Anolis sagrei: one gene and its partner. The protein of the gene in region 2 purifies or fractionates together with the protein of the main gene of each other region. This does not show direct contact. Links are inferred from orthologs where the notes say so. Each region holds a gene or a part of one and is shown on either strand. Other genes may lie near its edges.

The links.
Region 1: the proteins of STRN3 (region 2) and CCT2 purify together in Homo sapiens (affinity purification with mass spectrometry; 3 studies listed by BioGRID and IntAct, with this or other methods). This does not show direct contact. The link is inferred for Anolis sagrei from reciprocal best matches to the Homo sapiens genes STRN3 and CCT2.

The regions. Positions count from the first base shown.
Region 1 is NC_090025.1:143,351,502-143,362,086, reverse strand, and holds the start of CCT2 (T-complex protein 1 subunit beta), read right to left. Parts: upstream 5,043-10,585; 5' UTR 4,939-5,042; coding exon 4,936-4,938; intron 839-4,935; coding exon 764-838; intron 635-763; coding exon 569-634; intron 483-568; coding exon 371-482; intron 1-370. UniProt on the Homo sapiens protein: Component of the chaperonin-containing T-complex (TRiC), a molecular chaperone complex that assists the folding of actin, tubulin and other proteins upon ATP hydrolysis.
Region 2 is NC_090021.1:298,717,641-298,727,754, forward strand, and holds the start of STRN3 (striatin-3), read right to left. Parts: upstream 4,538-10,114; 5' UTR 4,302-4,537; coding exon 3,954-4,301; intron 1-3,953. Other genes in the region: AP4S1 (AP-4 complex subunit sigma-1), read left to right, coding at 4,906-4,910. UniProt on the Homo sapiens protein: Calmodulin-binding scaffolding protein which is the center of the striatin-interacting phosphatase and kinase (STRIPAK) complexes.

The DNA of each region.
Region 1 (10,585 bases), on a different chromosome or scaffold from region 2:
ACACATAACTTACACTTCACTGCATGACAAGCAAAAGTAGAATTCTACAGAAATTGACTTGCATATCCAGATTTTCTCAGAATATTAATTTGGTTGATTTATTGCAGATTAAAAGTACAGTTGGCAATATCAGACTGAGGAGTTGCTAGGACACTAGTTCTCAATCTGTAGGTCCTCTGGTGTTTTGGCCTACTACTCCCAGAAATCTCAGGCAGTTTATCAGCTGTTAGGATTTCAAGGAGTTGAAGGCCAAAACATCTGGGGGCCCACAGGTTGAGAATCACTGCAATAGGAGAACATGTGTATGCTAAACCTTTTTACATCACTCACTGTAACAACATATTCTAACTATATGTTCAATCAAACATACCAACTAAAATCTTGGCTGCAGGATTGTCAACTCCAATAGCTTTCAAGATTGTTGCTCCATCATTGGTTACCGTCACTGTACCTTCTCTTCCAGTACTCAGAAGTATCTTGTCCTACAAATCGACATTTAGCAATATTAAACACCTAACATGGTAACACTGACAAAAGCTATATATTTCCAAATGCAGTAATATCTTACCATTCCTTTAGGCCCCAAAGTGCTTTTGACAAGGTCTCCAATGGCAATGGCCCCAATGAAAGAGGACTGAAATAGCGTAAGGAAAAAGTATATACATTACTCCATCAGAAGAGATTCAGACTGTTCATTTGTAATTAATCAAAGACATTAATGCCCAACTATAGTTCCAGATTTTAGAGGTAAGGGTAAACTTACCAAGCGGGCTGTTTCTGCTCTCTCCTCATCAGCACCAGCCTTGAATATGTTCACAGGAGCTAACGACAGGGATGCCTATAATTACAACATTCAACACATAGCAAGCAATTATTTTTGAGATATATTGTCAAATAATATCTATGCCTCCATCCATAACCACACTCACAAACACCTGCTGACACTGCAGGACCTTCTTCCCCTCCTCTTTTCTCTGGAGCTCCCCCGTGTTGTCCAAGCATCTGCTCTGAAGTTTTTCCTATCCTTCCAAAATAGTTTTCTAAAATACGGAAGGGGAACCTCCAGTATCTTAGAATTGCCCTTACAGTCATTCCACACACTGCATTTTACAACATTATTTTTTGATAAATGATATTTGTGGAATCTAACCTCATAGTTACAATTTAACATTTCAATTAAACTTGTTAGGTTGAAGGATAGGATGTCAACCTATTTTTAAGTTTTGCGTACATAAAATAATTCTATTTTGCCACTTATTTGCTATCATAGTTATATATGGTATTCTGAGTCTTTCAGAGTGAACTATGCAGAGGAAAGTTGCATTACAAATGGAATTAGGACTGACTTCACATATACTGTGAATTAATGCAATTTGACATCATTTCAACCACCATGGCTCAATATCCTGGAGTCTTTTTCAGTTTGGTGAGGCACCAGGAGCTTTTCATAGAGAAGGCTAGAGACCTTGTAAAACTAATTCTATAGCACTGAACCATGGAAGCTAAAGTGGTATCAAACTGCATTAACTGCACAGTGCAGATGCATCCATGGTCTCAAGATTGGGTCTAAATACAAGCCTCTATTTAGCAGATAACATGGATCTTGCTTCTCCAACCTTGGGAATTTTACCTCAGCTAATATAAAATAAAAAAATCTTTTTTTCCTATGTTTCCCAGTAATGCTACTTCAGACAGAAAGAGGAAGACAAAGAACAGACTGAACAGGCCTCCTGGATATAGCCCTTCTATAGCTCCCAAACTTTTAAAGTATAAAGTGGCAACAGGAAACAGGGAGATTGAAATCTGCAGGATATACATTTCTGTATTGTGGGTTGAGTCTTCCTTCTTGAAAATGATTGGGATATGAAGTGTTTTGAATTTTGGAATATCTGCAGATACATAATGCAATATCTTGGGGTATATCTACACTTAATATAGTTCACCTCTTTAACTGCCCTGGCTCAATATTACTGAATTCTGGGAGTTGTACTTTTTCAAGGCTTTCTCTTCCAAAGAGTGTTGGTGCATCTCCAAACTGCACATCCCAAGATTCCATGGCATTTCGCCCTGGGAAATTGAGATTGTGTCATTAGTTCTGGATATGGGGCCCAATGTGGTGCACAAGATGGATTCTGTGTACACTGAACCATCAGAAAGCAAAGATGTCACTATATCAACCACTTATGGAAACAATTTTGGAGCAGTTTGGCTTTCCCATTAAGAGACCCTCAACTGGAGTCAGAATGGAGTGTGCATTTGATATAAACAGGAAGAGTTGCGAAGAATAAACCACGAAGGTGCTGTGTAGTACTTTTAGTATTTAACTGTTTTTTTAATGTTATGAGTGATGTATGTTTCAATCTATTTTAATATTTACATGCTGGAGATATTAAATTGTATTGCTTTCCCATTGTTGTGAGCCACTTTGTGTCTAAATAACAGCGATAAAAAATCACAGAGCTACAGATAAATATAGTATTATCTCACATATAAGTCAGTATCTGTATGTATGTTTGTTGTTTTGTTCGTACTCCAAAGGCTCCTCATGGCATGATGGATCTGGACCAAACTTGGCATATGTACACTTCATGATCCAACTTAAGATAATTGAGGGGTCTGAAGTAACAAAGCCACCCCTTTCAGGCCCAAGTCTGCGGGAAAGAAAAGCAACAGAGCTGACTGGGTGTGGCTAGGTGAAGTGGCCCTCTATGACGTGACTGGGAAAGAAAGGGAGCACAACAGCTTGGCTGTTGCTAGGTGGCATGTGTATGAGGCGAAAGAACGAAGGCGGAAAAAGGAAGGGAAAGGAGAAGGAAATGAAGGGGGGAAAGGAAAAGGATTGAGGAAAGTTGAGAAAGGATAGGGGAAAGGTAAGAGGGGAGGGACAGAGAAAGAAAGAATGGAAGAGGGAGGGAAGAAGAAAAGTGTATGAGGAAAAGTAAGAGATAAATGAAAGACTGGAAGAAAAGAGAGAAGAGTGTATGAAGGAAAGAAAGGAAAGAAAGAAAGAGCCATAAAGAAAATGCATACCTGGGTGTATATACCCTAACAACAACAAAAACATTATGTTACATTATTTTTGTTCCTGGGTTATAAATGTCATTTCTAAAAGTATCTACCACCCTATTGGACAGGATTTTAATGGTTATTAGAACTATAATTTATAGCCCGGATACTTAGATCATAGGAATGACTGGTTTTAAATGGCCTTACACACTAGTTTTAGAAGGTCTCATAGTCTTTTAAATTGTTTTTATTTATGTTTATAGTATTGTTTTATACTGTTTTATTAACTGATATGTGAATATTGGTTGTGTTATAATATATATTGTATTTGTTTGTTTTGTTGTAAACCACTTTAAGTCCCTCCAGGGAGGGAGTAGGAAATAAAAGGTAAAGGTTACTCCTTGACGTTAAATCTATGAAGAGCCGACATTGTCCGTAGATGCCTCCAAGGTCATGTGGCCAGCATAACTGCATGGAGTGCCGTTACCTTCTAGCAGAAGCGGTACCTGTTGATCCACTCACAGCTGCATATTTTTGAACTACTAGGTTGGCAGAAACTGGGGCTAACAGCAGGAGCTCATCCCACTCCTAGGATTTGAACCGCCAACCTTTTGGTCAGCAAGTTTAGCAGCTCAATAGTTTAACCCACTGTGCCACTAGGGGCTCCGGGTGGGATATAAATAAAGCTTATTATTATGTTTTCTTATGGTGTCTAACATTAAAACATGGAAAAATAGATTAAACTGCAAAAACTTTGTTCTGGTGGGAGATCCTGTAGCACAGTTGTTCTCAACCTGTGGATCCCCAGATGTTTTGGCCTACAACTCCTAGAAATCCCAGCCAGTTTACCAGCTGTGAAGTTTTCTGGGAGTTGAAGGCCAAACATCTGGGGACCCACAGGTTGAGAACCACTGCTGTAGCACATTTAGCTATAGTTTTTGGACTTCAGCTCCCACCATTCCTAACACCTCAGGTCATTTCCTTTTCCCCCTCAGCCACTAAGTGAGATGAGAGACAGGGCCTTCTTGGTGGTGGCCCCTCAGCTGTGGAACACCCTCCCTATAGATATTAGATCGGCCACCTCCCTTTTAACTTTCCGGAAAAAGTCAAGACGTGGCTTTTTGAACAAGCATTTGCAAATGCAGAGTAACTGACATAGGAAAATGGAACGACTGGACAATGAGTCCGGACAACGTTTTTAACAAGGAGACACTATGAATGTATATTGTATTGATTTGTTTAGTTTTTATTATATGCTTTTAATTGTATTTATAACAATGTAAGCATTGAATTTTTGCCCTGTTGACCGCCTTGAGTCGTCTACAGGCTGAGAAAGGCGGAATACAAATACAGTAAATATATATATATATATATATATATATATATATATATATATATATAAAAAGGCCTGAGAATGTCAGGAATGGTGGGCGTTGGTCCAAAACACCTGGAGGGCCCATGTTCGCCCATGCCTGGTGTAACAGGCCTTAATCCGGGAAGAACCGGGCGTGGACAATGTGAGGATTTGAGTGTGCTGGGCACACAGTCATTACAGATGAAAGGGAGACCATCTCAGGCTTCGGGCCTATATGCTACTAAGCCAAACCACAGGAGCGGCGCCTGCCTTTGTCTCGGGTGAGGAAGGGGGAAGCGAGGGAGGGACTGGAAGAAAGGAAGGGCAAGGCCCACAGGAGAGCCTTGCCTTGTTTCCCAGCGCGCGAGAGCCCCTCATTTTTGGAGAGGCACGCGAGGAGTAGAGCGGGACCGGCTCCTGGCTCCTTCCTCCTCCCTTTAGACCCTTCTAGAACCTTCGGCCCTCCCTGCCTCCTTCCTGCTGAGCCCCTTCCGAAGGAAAGAACGAAGGGACGAGCGGGCGCGCCCTCTCCCTGCCGCCACGCAGCGAGGAAGGCAGGAAGGCCCGGGACTCACCATGGCGACGGCGAAGCGTGGAAGGCCGTTACTCCAACGTTCTGAGCGGCCGCGTGCCCGCACTCAACGAGCGGAGACAACGGATGCCGGAAATGACGTCTCGGCGGAGGGAAGCAGGAAGGAGCGTTGCATGCCGGGAGTTGTAGTCCCCTTCTTCCATCAACTAGGGCAGCGTTTCTCAACCTTGGGGTCGGGACACGGGGGGGGGGTGTCAAATGGGTCACCAAAGATCATCAGAAAACACAGTATTTTCTGTTGGTCATGGGGTTCTCTATTGGAAGTTTGGCCCAATTCTATCATTGGTGGAGTTCTGAATTCCCTTTGATTGTAGGTGAACTATAAATCCCAGCAACTTCAATGCCCAAATGTCAAGATCTATTTTCCCCCAAACTTCACCAGTGTTCACATTTCGGCATATTGAGTATCCATGCCAAGTTTAGTCCAGATCCATCATTGTTTGAGTCCACGGTGCTCTCTGGATGTAGGTGAACTACAACTCCAAAACTCAAAAGTCAATGCCTACCAAACCCTTCCAGTATTTTCTGTTGGTCATGGGAGTTCTGTGTGCCGAGATTAGTTCAATTCCACTGTTGGTGTAGTTCGAAATGCTCTTTGATTGTAGGTGAACTATAAATCCCAGCAACTACAACTCCCAAATGACAACATCAACTCCCAATAATATAATATTGGGAGCCCCGGTGGCGTAGTGGGTTAAAGCACTGAGCTGCTGAGCTTGTTAACCAAAAGGCCACAGGTTCAATTCCGGCAAGCGGCATGAGCTTCCGCTGTCAGCCCTAGCTTCTGCCAACCTAGCAGTTCGAGAACATGCAAATGTGAGTAGATCAATAGGTACCACTCTGGCGGGAAGGTAATGGCGCTCCATGCAGTCATGCCGGCCACATGACCTTGGAGGTGTCTACAGACAACACCGGCTCTTCAGCTTAGAAATGGAGATGAGCACCACACCCCAGAGTCACACATGACTGGACTTAATGTCAGGGAACAACCTTTACCTTTACCTAAAATAATATATTGTATATACATATAATATTTATATTATAATGTAATGCAATATAATACTAATAATAATAATAATGTTATAATTATATATTTATATTACATGTAATATTACTAATAATATTACAATATAATGGTATAGTACAATATAGTAATATTTAGTACTGATATTGTACTATGCTAATAATATAATATATTGTATGTATATATATCTTGTAAGCTGCTCTGAGTCCCCTTTGGGGTGAGGAGGGCAGCATAGAAATGTTAAATAAATACACATCACTTATTGCATCACTAGGCAGAATGGCAGTCCATGGACAAGGGCCAGTTGCTGAGCCATCTGCTGCCAGTCCCTGGAGTGTTTCTAGGGGAAAAAGAAAACATTGAGCACAAATATAATAAAAGTAAAGGTTTTCCCCGATATTAAGTCTAGTCATGTCCGACTCTAGGTGGTGGTGCTCACCTCCATTCCTAAGCCGAAGAGCTGGCATTGTCCATAAACACCTCCAAGGTCATGTGGCCAACATGACTGCATGGAGCGCTGAAGCAATACCTATTGGTGTACTCACATTTGCACGTTTTTGAACTACTAGGTTGGCAGAAGCTGGGGCTAACGGGAGCTCACCCCATCCTGTGGATTCAAACCACCGACCTTTCAGTTAGCAAGTTCAGCAGCTCAGTGGTTTAACCCACTGCGCCACTGGGGGCACCATACAAATATACTGCTGCTCCCTAATATGTTGGAGAAAAACTGTCATATCTTAAGTGTTGACTTGTTGACTTGTACTTTAACATCACAGCTACATGGCACCAGAACCCATGGAAGGAGATCCATAGCATAAGACATTAATGTGCTTTTAAAATAAGGAACTAAAGGTGCATCAACGCTTAGGTTTAAAGCACTTTCATTGTGATGGCTCAATGCTATGAAATCATGGAAGTTGTAGTTTGGTGAGACACAAAACCTTGTAACACCACAACTTTCACGACTGCGTAGCACAGAGCTGTGACAGTTCAAAGTGGTCTCCAACAGCATGTTTAAAGTGTAGATGTACCCATTGACCAGAGGCATAGTTAAGGAGATTAGGTTGGAAGCCAAACAGCAAGTCCAATGCTCTTATATTGCTAAGGCACCATTTTTCTCTCTCATACACTTTAACTCAAGATTGGTAGGCAATAATCCACCCCCATGGGCTATGTTGATTAGAGATCATAGAAATTGTAAGCCAACAAATAAAAACTTCTAGTGGCTTTCAGTTGCTAACTCCCATCCTAGCCCAGTCTTTGTATATCCTCAGCTTAAACTACAATGAGACCTTGGTATCTGCTGGATTATGGTTTTAAGACCCGATACCATAATTAATGGAGACTAAAGTCCCATTATATTCAATGGTGCAGTAAAATTGTATCTCTTATATAAAATGGCACAATCAAAACTTTCCTTTGGGATTTTATTTGGGAGGGGGACATTTTCAAGCTGTGAATGGACTGAATCCATGGATGTCAAATAAGTGGATAGCTTATCAACAAAACTAGAGCTGATGTGATCTATCCAATGCAACATTCTAAATCAGAGCCCAAAATTACCCTAGAAACTAAAAAACCAAGACACCAAAAAAAAAAAAAAAGATCTGTTCAATCAAGACCAAACTTAAAATATGAATGGTTAAGTTGGTGGTAAAAATATCTTTAAAATTCCTGGGTATTAGATCTGGGCAAAGTAGATCATACATTTTATTTACTATACCTTTAGCATCTCGGCCATCACAGTTAATATTGTAGCATGCACAATAATAATCATTTGGACATAAGGAAAAATATAACCCCACCCCAACACCAAAGGAACAAAAGACACTCTTACATAGTAAAAATCAGATATTTTATTGCCATGCTACAGTTCTTATGGAGCTGGCACTGGTGAGGGGACAAGGTTGTCAATAATACAGAATACATTTTAAAATGGACATTGGGTAAGCTCAATGTAAAAGCAAGCCAAAATTAAGTGGTAGCATATGGAGGATGAAAAAGAAAATATATTAGCTGTAGAATAAATGTTACTCTCTTAAAGGGAAGGCTGGAATGTTTGAAAAGAACAATTGTGGGGAAGGTGGGGGTTTAAAACAGTTTGCAAACTGCTCAGGAATATTTTGGCAACTCTTTAGACTTTTTTTTAATAAAATAAAACTCTAGAAAGCTACTTTTATACAAAGTTGCTATATTGATGCCTTTACATAGGAAAACATTTTAAAATGCAAAATTAGGACATACAACAACAGCTTTACAGTATTTTACAATGTAATGACAAAAGTAACATACAGACACCGTTTTGGCTTTTTATAGAAATGTATAGTTAGGCATTTAAGAAACTCATTTGTGGCACACTGGTGATTATAGGACTATACTGTCCATTTTCATGCTAAGACTTTAGATCAGTTGTACTGCAAATTCTGAAACATTATTTTCTTATCTAATCTCACAGTGGTTCTGAAGACATAGGTGAGACTATAATGGAATGAAATGTCATGTCTAAAAACTAAAGAAACAAGGCACCATACTTGCTGGCTGAGACATGCCATATCGGTACATCATACAAACACTATTTTCTTTTACAAAAGTGGAAGCATTTCCTATACATTCAGTAGCAATCAATGTCTTAGAAACAAGACAGCTTGCATCCAGGGTTTGGCAATCATCAGGGGGAAACACAGAATTAGTACCATATATTATTTTTAATACAAAGTGTGTGTATTGCATTGAAAATTAACAGGGCATTCAGGTTGTTGGCATCCATTGCTAAGTAAAATGCGAAGTACATAAATTCCTGAGTGAAGGACCCTCTCCGTTTTCAAACCCAATCATTTTACACACAGTACTCCAAACTTCAATGCACCAATAAAATCAAAATTCAAATAGTAATTTCAACTTTAAACACAAATAGGAATTTTAAACTTTCAGGTTTTTAATAGTACCGTATGTTCAGGCCATATGTGAAAGTTAGACACGTCACTTAATCTGAGGCAAACATGATGCTTTCGGTGAACAGAATGTAAGTTATGTGGGAGAATGTTTAAACAACTCTTTGCAGGAATGGAAGAAGGAAGCAGGGAAAATTTTGTGACAAAGGACTATTTATCATCTTTACTTCACTTTTACACTGCAAACTTATGTTTAGAGATGCAGAGGGGCTGAGGGCAATACTACAAATTCCAATATGAAGCAAATTTAAATGTAGCTGTCCTTGTGACTGGCTGTCACACATTAGGCTGGTTGTCAAACTATTCCAAAAGGCCTTAAGGCATGTATATGTAAAGTATCTATGGTATCTATGTAATCTGGTCCTAAACTGTCAATCAGGTCTAGCCCCAGATTACAAACTTTATGGCAAGATCTCTCATGGCAAACCCTTTATCAACACTCGGGAAGACAGCCTTTTTAAAAAACAGACAATCTCATTCATAATGACAGCTATACATTTCATTTTATACATAAAAGTACTTTTAATTAACATAGCAGAAAGCATGTACTTTACCAAGTATGTACTATGCCAACCTAAAAAAATGCTAATAATGTTTTCAATGCCCTTTGAAATTATAGTTTAAAACTTTCATTGTAAAATTCAATTGTTCATGAACACGAAAAAGCAATGTTGTCAAACATTAAATTTCATTCTCATTCTCTCACACAAAATACTATCCTAGAGTCAATTCTCGGTTGCAACCTATTAAGAGGGTGGAACCCTGGAAAGGAAATGTCCACATCCTGTCCTTCCCCTCACAACAAGATGGGATCCTTCTGGACAATGGAGGCTGCAAGAGACATGCTTGCTGGCAGAAAGGTGGAGTGGCCCAGACTGAGGAGAAGCACCATGAACATGAAGAGCTCAAGTCATATAAGGACCTCCTCCAAGCAGCATTCTGCCTAGCAATCCCATAGCATTCCACTAATCTTCAGAAACAGAAGGGGAAGAGTACGGGAAAGCCCTGGTCCCTGAACTTCCTTCTACTTATGGTTTCAGAATCCTACTGATGCTGTAGTTCAGCAGAACCTCCAAAAAGCATCTTGACTCAAGAACAATATTAAGACGATTAATATCTAGGGTCATTCCACACATTGTTTTTAAAAAGTTAAAATGGACATTTTAACGTTATTTAGTGTTTTAGGATTGGGTAAGTATGTAAAAGTTATTTTGAAGGACACGTGTACCTTGAAACATACACCAGGAACAAATTACAATACTTTAAAATCAAAATATTTTGAGTGGTGTTTGCAAGAACTGGAGTGACTAGCTGCAAAAGACAGCACTGTAAAAGATATTGTTTCATAAGCAGTAAAAGCTGAAGAAATTCTATTGTTTTTATGGGTTAGTCAATAGTGAGAAGTGTAAACTAATATTTCAAGCACTTCGTGAAGATCTTAGTGTTATTATGAAGATATCAGATGGGAAAACACTGTTGTTTGCAGAGGAAAATAAAAACCTAGAACGTGATTATACTAATGATATTAAAGAAAAAAATGATTGGTTAGTACTAATGATGGGAAGATAGGAAAAAAAATGTCAAAATGTTTGTTCAGGCAATATTATCTGAATCTGAATTCAGAGTTCCATGATTTTTTTAAATGTAATGGGGAGAGT
Region 2 (10,114 bases):
TTGTCTTGATTTTTTTAATTATCTCTTTTAAAGGACATTTTTTCCTGCTCAGTTTCACAAATTTCAGAGGACTGTTGTTAAGAGGAACTACTATCTATTCTTCCTCCGCCCACCAATCCGGACATTCAGGGTGAGAGATTGTGCAATCTTGGACAAATCAGTACATGTCCACTACCGGTGGTAGTACTAACTATCTTAAGTATCTTAAAAACCAAATATATTATTCCCAAAATGCACATTTTTTCTTTTAAAATACATCACATTTTATTAGACCTACTCTATACACCAAACACTAAACAAAAACAAATTATGGAATACACCCAGGATATATGTAATTTGTTTTTCATTACTGAACACCTTTCAAAAATCAGCCCAGCTTGATACTTAAAGTCTACTACTTCCAGATTTAGTGATAAAAATGCATGCATATTTACATCTATGCATCCATTTTAATTATCATTTGCATATTAGACAACATGCTTAATTAATGACAACTGTCGAAATGACGCAAGACCTTTAAAAAAGAAAAGTGACAAATCCAGATTTACCACCTAGTTTGTGAACAGCAGAAAACTCTCAGTCTGGGATTAAAGGAATCCACATTTCATCCCATTTATCAACCCACCCTTCACGGATATCTCTGCTGATCACATAAGAAATATACATCTTCCTGAGGACTTGCAATTTTCACTGATATTGGAAGCTAAACAGGGTTTGGCTTGATGAATACTTGAAGAGAACCACAAATAATGCATGGGAACTTTAGGTATACCTAAGAGAGAATACTGTCTGAAAGCATGAAGAGCCCCTTTAAGCAGGAGTTTAGTTGGGGAGAAGGACCAACTATCTGACCCAGTCAGCACATATTGATTAACTTTTATGCTTGGGACCATAAGCGTTTTGGATTTTAGGATACCTATGTTAGCAAACACGTACATAATGAAATATCTCAGACATGGAACCCAAACCTCAACATGAAATCTTATAAAGCACAGCCTGAAGCAAGTTTTATATAATATTATAATATTTTTGTGCATGAAACAAAAGTTTGTGTACACTGAATCATAAGAAAATAAATACCACTATCTCAGTCACTGATGCGGACACTTTGGGAATATTTTGGATTCTGGATATGGGCCACTCAACTTGTTTTCTTCTATTCTGTAGCCATGTCCATTTTCTTGCATGGGGGGGGGGGATAGGACTTTCTCTGAGGTTGTCAATACACTGCAGAATTATAGCAGTTTGACATCACATTATCTGCTGTCACTCAATGCTATAGAATTCTGGGATTTGCAGTTTTATGAGATCTATATCTTTCTCAGTCAGTGCACTCTGATGTCACTGGAAAACTACAACTCCCAAGAATCCTTGGAAAGGCACTATGGCACTTTACAAGACTATAATTCAGCAGTGTAGATAGATCTCTTAGGGTCCATCTACCCTGTAGAATTAATGCAGTTGGGCACCACTATGGAATCGGGGACATGTAGTTTGATGAGATAGCACTCTTTGACAGAGAAGGCTATAGGCCTTTTAAAATCATAACTCCCATGATCCCATGCCATTGAACCCTGGCAGCTGAAATGGGTATCAAACTGCATTGATCCCACAGTGTAGATGCACTTTCAGAAATAATCGTATCCCATTTAATTTGTAATTGATCCACTCCTTTGGACTTCACACAAATCTACCATTTGCCATTATTCAGAAATAATAGCAAGGAGGAAGGAAATATGTGCTCTGAGTGATGATGGATGCACTCTCTCCAACGGTGACACTGGCCCCATCTGCGCTGCAGAGAATGCCGTTTGAAGCTGCATTATATGGTCAGTGTAGGCTCATACAATGCAGACTACACTGACCATAGCATGTCATTTCAAACAATATTATACAATCAGTGTAAAACTGCATTATGCAGTATGAAACTGCATTATATGGTCAGTGTAGGCTGCATTATATGAGCCTACACTGACTATATAATGCAGTTTCAAATGGCATTATATGGTCAGTGTAGGCTGCAATGAATGAACTTATACTGACCATATAATGCAGTTTCAAGTGGCATTATATCAGTCATGGGCAAACTTCGGTCCTCCAGGTGTTTGGACTTTAACTTCCACAAATCTTAACAGCCTACTGGCTGATAGCAATTGTTGGAGTTGAAATCCAAAACACTTGGAGGGTCAACGTTTGTCCATGCCTGCATTAAGTGGTCGGTTTAGGCTGCATGGCATGAGCCTACATTGACCATATCATGCAGCTTCAAATGGCAATATATGGTCAGTGTAGGCTGCATTAAATGAAGTTACACTGACCATACAATGAAGTTTCAAGTGGTATTATATGGTTAGTGTAGGCTGCATTGAATGAACTTACACTGACCATATAATGCAGTTTCAAATGGCATTATATGGTCAGTGTAGATCACATTAAATGAAGTTACACTGACCATACAATGAAGTTTCAAATGGTATTACATGGTAAGTGTAGGCTGCATTGAATGAAGTTAAACTGACCATAGAATGCAGTTTCAAAAGGCATTTATCAGGCATGGGCAAACTTTGGTCCTCCATTTGTTTTGGACTTTAACTACCACAATTCCTAACAGCCAACTGTGGGAGATGTTTGCCCATACCTGCATGGTATGGTCAGTGTATGAGTCTACACTGACCATATAATGCAGTTTCAAATGGCATCATAAGGTCAGCGTAGGCTACATTGAATGAGCTTACACTGACCATATAATGCAGTTTCAAACTGGATTCTGAGCAGTGTACAATGGGGTTAGTCAGTCAGTGTCACCGTTTGAGAATGCGGTTAGAGCACGTATTTCCTTCCTGCTGATTTTTGGAATCAGTGCTGTGGAATCAATGCACTTTGGCACCCATCTGCGCTGTCATTTATGAACAAATTCCTCTTGGGTTGTTGTTGGTTTTTTCGGGCTATATGGCCATGTTCTAGAGGTATTCTCTCCTGACGTTTCGCCTGCATCTATGGCAAGCATCCTCAGAGGTAGTGAAGATGCTTGCCATAGATTCAGGCAAAACGTCAGGAGAGAATGCCTCTAGAACTGTGGTTCTCAACCTGGGGTCCCCAGATGTTTTTGGCCTACAACTCCCAGAAATCCCAGCCAGTTGACTGGCTGTTAGGATTTCTGGGAGTTGAATCATAGAATCAAAGAGTTGGAAGAGACCTCATGGGCCATCCAGTCCAACCCCCTGCCAAGAAGCAGGAATATTGCATTCAAATCACCCCTGACAGATGGCCATCCAGCCTCTGTTTAAAAGCTTCCAAAGAAGGAGCCTCCACCACATTGGCTGTTAGGAATTGTGGGAGTTAAAGTCCAAAACAAATGGAGGACCAAAGTTTGCCCATGCCTGATAAATGCCTTTTAAAGGCCAAAAACATCTGGGGACCCCAGAATGAGAATCACTGCTCTAGAAGATGGCCATATAGCCCGAAAAAACCTACAACGACCCAGTGATTCCGGCCATGAAAGCCTTCACCATACATTAAATTCCTCCTGTCGGGATGACAGGTTTGGAGCGGCATTCGATGGAGCCGCTAGGCCGCGAAAGGCCTCGGAAAGGTTCGTCCATTTCCGGACAACAAATGGTCAGAAAGAGCGGCTCCGGGGAGGGGGGGGGGGGAGGATGTGGTGTGCCTCAGGTTTGGAGGCCGAGGAAGAACCGAGAGGAGAAGCGGGAACGAGAGGCCTTCACTTCTTGGACGGGGGCTCCTTTGACAGGCCCGGGCCCCGGCGGGCGCCATGCGAAGCAACCAAAATGGCTGCCCCGGGAAAGGAAGGCAGGCAGGGGGGACTGTGCCGAGTGACGGCGACGACGCCCCGCCACGCCCCGCCGCAACATACACACACACGTTAGCTGTAGTGCCCCCACGTCACGCCCCGAGAGCATGCCCCCTTCCCCTTTCCTTCCTTCCTTCCTTACCTGGAGCTCGGCCCTCTCCACTTCCCAGTGAGCGCGCTCCATCTCGAAGCGGGCCCACTCGTGCTGGATGTAGTGCAGGATCCCCGGGATGGTGTAGTGTTGAGGCCGGGACAGCTCCGACCCTCCTCCCCCTCCTCCGCCGGGGCCCACCGCTTCCTGAGGCGGCGCCGGGCCTTGAGGTGGCTGCTGCTGTTGCTGCTGAGGCGGCAAGCCCCCTCCAGGCCCCGCGCAGCCAGGGCCGAGCAGCGGAGAGTTGGCATTTCCCGCCGCGGGAGGCAAAGGCTGCTGCTGCTGTTGCTGAGGGGCCCTGGGCATGGTCCCTCCGCCGGCGCCGGGGTGCTCGTCCATTGTCCTCCCTCCCGCTCCTTTCCCCCCTTTCCCTTCCGCCTCGCTTGTTCCTTCAGAGGCGCAGTCTGCCAGGAAAGAGCCGGGGACTGGGTTTGGGTGAGAGCCGCGCGTCAGAGCAGCGCCCAAGGCGAGCCGCTGCTTCTGCCGCCGCCGGCCGCCATTACAGCCTCCGCTCCATCATTCTCAGCTCGCTCACTCACTCACCCACCCACACGGTGGGGAGGGGGGAGGAGGAGAGGAGGCTAGCAAGGCATGCTGGGAAAGAGCACCCGCCTTGCTCCGGAGTCGGCGTGATATGCGCCTGCGCGAGAGAGTGCGTCTGAGGGAAGCCGAGGCGAGGACCGCCGGCGTGCGCATGCGCGAGGGAGTCTGAGGGAAGCCGGGGCGAGGAACGCGGGCGTGCGCGTGCGCGAGGGTGTCCGAGGGAAGCCGAGGCTAGGTGCGCGAGTGTCTGAGGGAAGTGTGCGTGCGCATGCGCGACCGTGTCTGAGGAAAGCTGAGGAGAGAGAAAGGGGGAGAGGTTTGTTCGCTCGCTCGCTCTTCTTGGGCGGGTTTGTTTTCTTTCCAATGTCATTCTTTTCCTCGGCCTCTCACCTGTTCCTCTATGAGGTAAAAAAGGGGCACAGCTAGCCTTTATCGCAGTCATAGTCCAGGTGTTTTGGACTAACAGCTGACCATATAATGTAGGTATGGGCAAACTTCGGCCCAGGTGCGCGAGTGTCTGAGGGAAGCGTGCGTGCGCATGCGCGACCGTGTCTGAGGGAAGCTGAAGAGAGAAAAAGAGGGAGAGGTTGGCTCGCTCACTCTTCTTGGGCGGGTTTGTTTTCTTTTCAATCTCATTTTCCTCGGCCTCTCACCTGTTCCCCTATGAGGTAAAAAAAGGGACAAAGCTAGCCTTTATAGCAGGCATGGGCAAACTTGGCCCTCCAGGTGTTTTGGACTAACAGCTGACCATATAATGCAGAATATAATATAATATATTATAGAATACATAGTATATATTAATTTTATATATATATATATAATACAATATTATATATATATATATATATATATAATAAAAATAAATATATGACCATATAATGCAGAATATCTCTGTCTACGAACCCACGCGCTCTCTTCGTTCATCTGGAGAGGCCCTGCTCATGATCCCACCTGCGTCGCAAGCGCGTTTGGTGGGGACACGAGACAGGGCCTTTTCCGTGGTGGCCCCCCGACTCTGGAACACCCTCCCCAAAGATCTTAGACAGGCCCCTACATTGGCAGTCTTCAGAAAGAACTTGAAGACGGCTGTTCCGATGTGCCTTCCCCGAATAGGAAACCTCCAATACCAAGTCCCATAAGCATTTTATTAAAGCTAAGACCGCCGCACACTGGACTTGCCCATAAGCCTCATATTCCACCTGTCACATCAGCACTTTTAACTCTTGTACCCTTACTCTGGCCCGGCCCAGTTTTATTTTGTCTTAGTGGATTGTTCATTGCTTGTTGTTTAGATTGCTTTAATTGTTTTTAATTTGCCTAGGTTTTGTATTGTTGTATTGTGTGTTGAGGCCTTGGCCTTTGTAAGCCGCATCGAGTCCTTCGGGAGATGCTAGCGGTGTACAAATAAAGTTTAATAATAATAATAATAATATATTTCTACAGTGTAGATAAGGCATGGGCAAACTTCAGCCCTCCAGGTGTTTTGGACTTCAACTCCCACAATTCCTAACAGCTGGTAGAAGAAAGAAATACCAGCTGTTAGGAATTGTGGGAGTTTGAAGTCCAAAACACCTATAAAGACATGGTTTAAAATTGACTGGGTAATATATAAAATGTTTAGGACCAGAAGTATTCTGATTTCATATTTTTAGAACTGCTATATTTATATTTGTGCATATATAATGAGCTCTTTTGGAGATTCAAGACTAAACACAAATGTGTTAATGTTTCATGTGCACCTTGTACATATACTCTGTAGGCAATTAAAAAAAATGATTTTGTGCGAAGTGTACATTGAACCCTCAGAAAGCCAAAAATGTCATTGTCATTTCTGAATTTTGGAAGATTTCAGAATTCTAGATAAGAGTTACTCAACCTGCTAATGTTTTACACTTGTGAAGTGTTTCAAAGTGTTCAAAATGCTCCTTGATAGTTCAGTACACATTAGCCATTATCCTCCACACTGCAGACATCGATATGAAATCTGAACACGATAGTACAGGATTTGCATCTCTGACTCTTTGCCATTTTCTTGCTGCCCTTTTCAAAAAATCAAGTCAACTTGACATGAAACTCTATAGTGTAAAATCACTCACACTCTCACAGCTTCTGGAAGCTGTAAAGAGGACTTTACTTGACAAAGGAACTGCCTGAAACATGAGAAGTAGATGTACATTATCTGGGCATGTGCAGAGTACATTCCCCACATGAAGAAGGCCTATGTCAGATGTTAACCTTTGCAGAAAAGTGGAACATTGCTGGTATTTCAGTTATCAGTGCCTCTTAAATGTTTGAACTGGCATTATACCCAGGAACACACTAAATATGACCTGTTATCATTCAAAAGATAGAGAAATGGAAGAAACGATGGGCTGTTGAAAATAATTTTTGCACTGTTAGTAAGTATTTAAATGACTGCAGACATCTACTTTCCATGCTTCAGTCCAATTCCCTTCTAAAGTCTCTTGCTTATAGTAATTTCACTTGCAGTTCATCATCTTTCAGGGGAAGCTACTGTTTATTGCCCCTTTCGTTCACTTAAAATGGTTTCCCTGATGCTGGGTTATGCCAGTAAAAGATTCTTGGCATTCCAATTGCATTCCTCACATGTCTGTAACTGACTTCTTGGATGGACAAGAAGGCCACTTCTCTCACCACATGTACTGTACACTTATTCTCTCCCCCAGGACATGAAGCAGATTGATTCTACCACTGCTGTTGTTATTATTACACTGTCACCAAAAGCAGCAAGGCAGCAAATAGAAACAAGTACAGGCAGCCAGCTACTGGTATCAAATTACTACTATGAATATGAGATTAAATTAAGCGAGGCTAACCTCTCACTGAATAAGGAGGCAGGGCTTTCTGAGTAATCCCTCGAGGGTAGCTTTGGAAACTCCATCTGTAGAAACTCCATTGTGGAGTTGTTTAAAGCAGAGTTAGAGCTTCAGGGAACATGCCTTCTTTGGCCTTTCACAAATTACTCAGTCCTCTTTACAGGCTGGCTCTGTTTCTTAAAAGGAAAAGCTTGATAAACAAACTATATATATGTTGCACTTTATATTTTCACAGAAAGAGCACTTAAAAGTAGGTTTTCTTTAACAAATGGTTCTTTAACAAATGGACTATGGTAAAGTGTCCTTTCCTGCTTTAAATTATTGAGCATAAGGAAGTCTCAAAAGAAATTTTGCTTAAGGTAATTAGACATTTAAGGCCACAGTCTTGAAATCAATGTATAAACTAGAATTAAATATTGCAATTACTGTATATACTCGAGTATAAGCCTAGCTTTTCAGCCCTTTTTTTAGGCTGAAAAAGCTCCCCTCGGCTTATACTTGAGTCAAGGTTATTTATTATTTTACTCTGCTATTAGCATTATTTTTATTTCATGTATTATTCTACTGTATTATTATTACATTTACAGTATTTTACCCTATTATTATTACTACATTTATTATTTTACTTTATTATTATTGCATTTATTATTTTACTCTATTATTACATTTATTATTCTACTCTATTACTACTGTTATTATTGCATTTCCATTATTTTACTTTATTATTATAATTATTATTATATTTATTATTTCACTCTCTTTATTATTGTTGGAAGGATACGTAAGTACATTTACATTGAAGATATGTAATGATTTAATCAGAATTGGGCAGTCTTATCTCAAATTACAGTTTTATGTAAATATTAAAAAACATTTCACCTTCTGATGCCTCAATTAATGTAATTTTATTGGTATCTGTTTTTACTTTGAAATTTACCTGTAGTGGTTGCATTTCCCACCCTTGGCTTATACCCGAGTCAATATGTTTTCCCAGTTTTTTGTGGTAAAATTAGGTGCCTCGGCTTATATTCGGGTTGGATTATACTCGAGTATATACGGTATATTTATATTTTAGCCTCTTTGAACACTGCCTTAGCTTCCATGGTAGGAAAAAGGTGACCCAAATCTGGTGTTGTTGAATATAAGGTGCTTCAAAATTAAGAAGACCTCAACATTATAATATTGTTTACAATTTATTTTGTGATCTGTGTTTAAGCTATATCTCACCTTTCAGTCACTATTCTGTCTCATCACAGAAGTGTCATAACTAAAGCTGCTAGCAATGACCACAATCCATTTTGTGGGATTTTAAAGGTTCTCTTGTGATTTGGAGTTGGAGCTGTTATAAGGAAAGAGGGCCTCCAATGCGCTGTTAAAAGACCTTAATATCCTCTAAGCAATTTTTGTCTTTATCTATAAATTATAGAAATATTAAGTTATTTTTTCACACTGTTAGTGATTAATGTTCAGTAAGCTCTCTGTAAGGAAACCCAGCACTCATCTATAAATAAAATCAAGCATGAGGCAAATGATAGAGCACAAAAGAATTCAGAGTCAAAGTTGGCAGTGAATTACACTGTGGTGGTCACAGCTACTCATAGTTATGTGTAATCCAAATGCAGCAAGAAATATTATGGTACCATGATAGAGGTATTTGCACTTCGAAGCCAGTAGGCTTTCTTGAGTGAAATTGTCCCATCTGCCGTTTTCTAGCTCCTATTTAGCTGCTTGACAGTGTAGATTAGTATTTAAAATTAAGACTATTATTTTGTATTTATTAATCTGGCTATTTCTGGGTAGATGTGCATAGGATCGTAGTGCTTATGGGCTATTTTTGTCCCAGCACTACCTTGGACTCCTCCAGGCTATCATTTTCTAGCAAAGGGGGAGGGCTTAATTGCTTCTTCTGAAACATCCAGGGGCAGTGATTTACCTTTTGAAAAGATTCTTTAACACTAAAGCAAAGATGCATTTGCCCTGGACAGAAACGTACACACTACAAATTTATATAGAAATTACAACAGTTTCTATGAATTTGCTTCTTCAGAAGGACCTTTGGGATTATTGCTTGGCCAGATCAGAGGCAAGAATACAAAAAAAAAGTTTTCTGCCACTCTCAAATCTGTTTTGTTTTTATTTCCTGTTCCCCTCTTTCCTTCCCCTCTTTTTTATTTTGCAGTCCATATACCTCCAGAGGGACCCGGAAATAAAGAAATGTGGCCCCCTGGACCTACAGTTACCCACTCCAATAATGACCCCATCTTTATGCCAGTATTTTGACTTATCCCTGCACACAGTTCTGGTCAATTCTTCCCCTGTACTGTTACACACATAGGGACACACAAAGTTGCTCTGTGTTCATAGCATCATTGTGACTTGCATGTCTGAAATAACCATCAAGAGATCAAATTCCAAAGGAGAGTTTTCATATTGTCTGTAATTAACTCAGAAGAAATACCATTCTGTTCACTCATGCAGTTGCCACTAATTGAGTAATAAACCACCAAGTATGTGTGACTTGGAACATGTGCCTTCAAGTAACCTGCCAACCCATGGCAATTTCATCAACTTCATAGGTTTTTCTAACGCACCAGAAGTGGTTTTACCAGTTGCTTCCTCTGAAATATAACCCACATTTGGCATTCTTTCATCCAAGCACTCACCAGAGCTGATGCTGCTTAGCTTCCAAAATCAGACAGGTTGGGCTTGCTCTGAACAAAAAAAGACTGCAAAATGTTAAGAGGCATGACTCAACCCTGGATACGGTTTCCC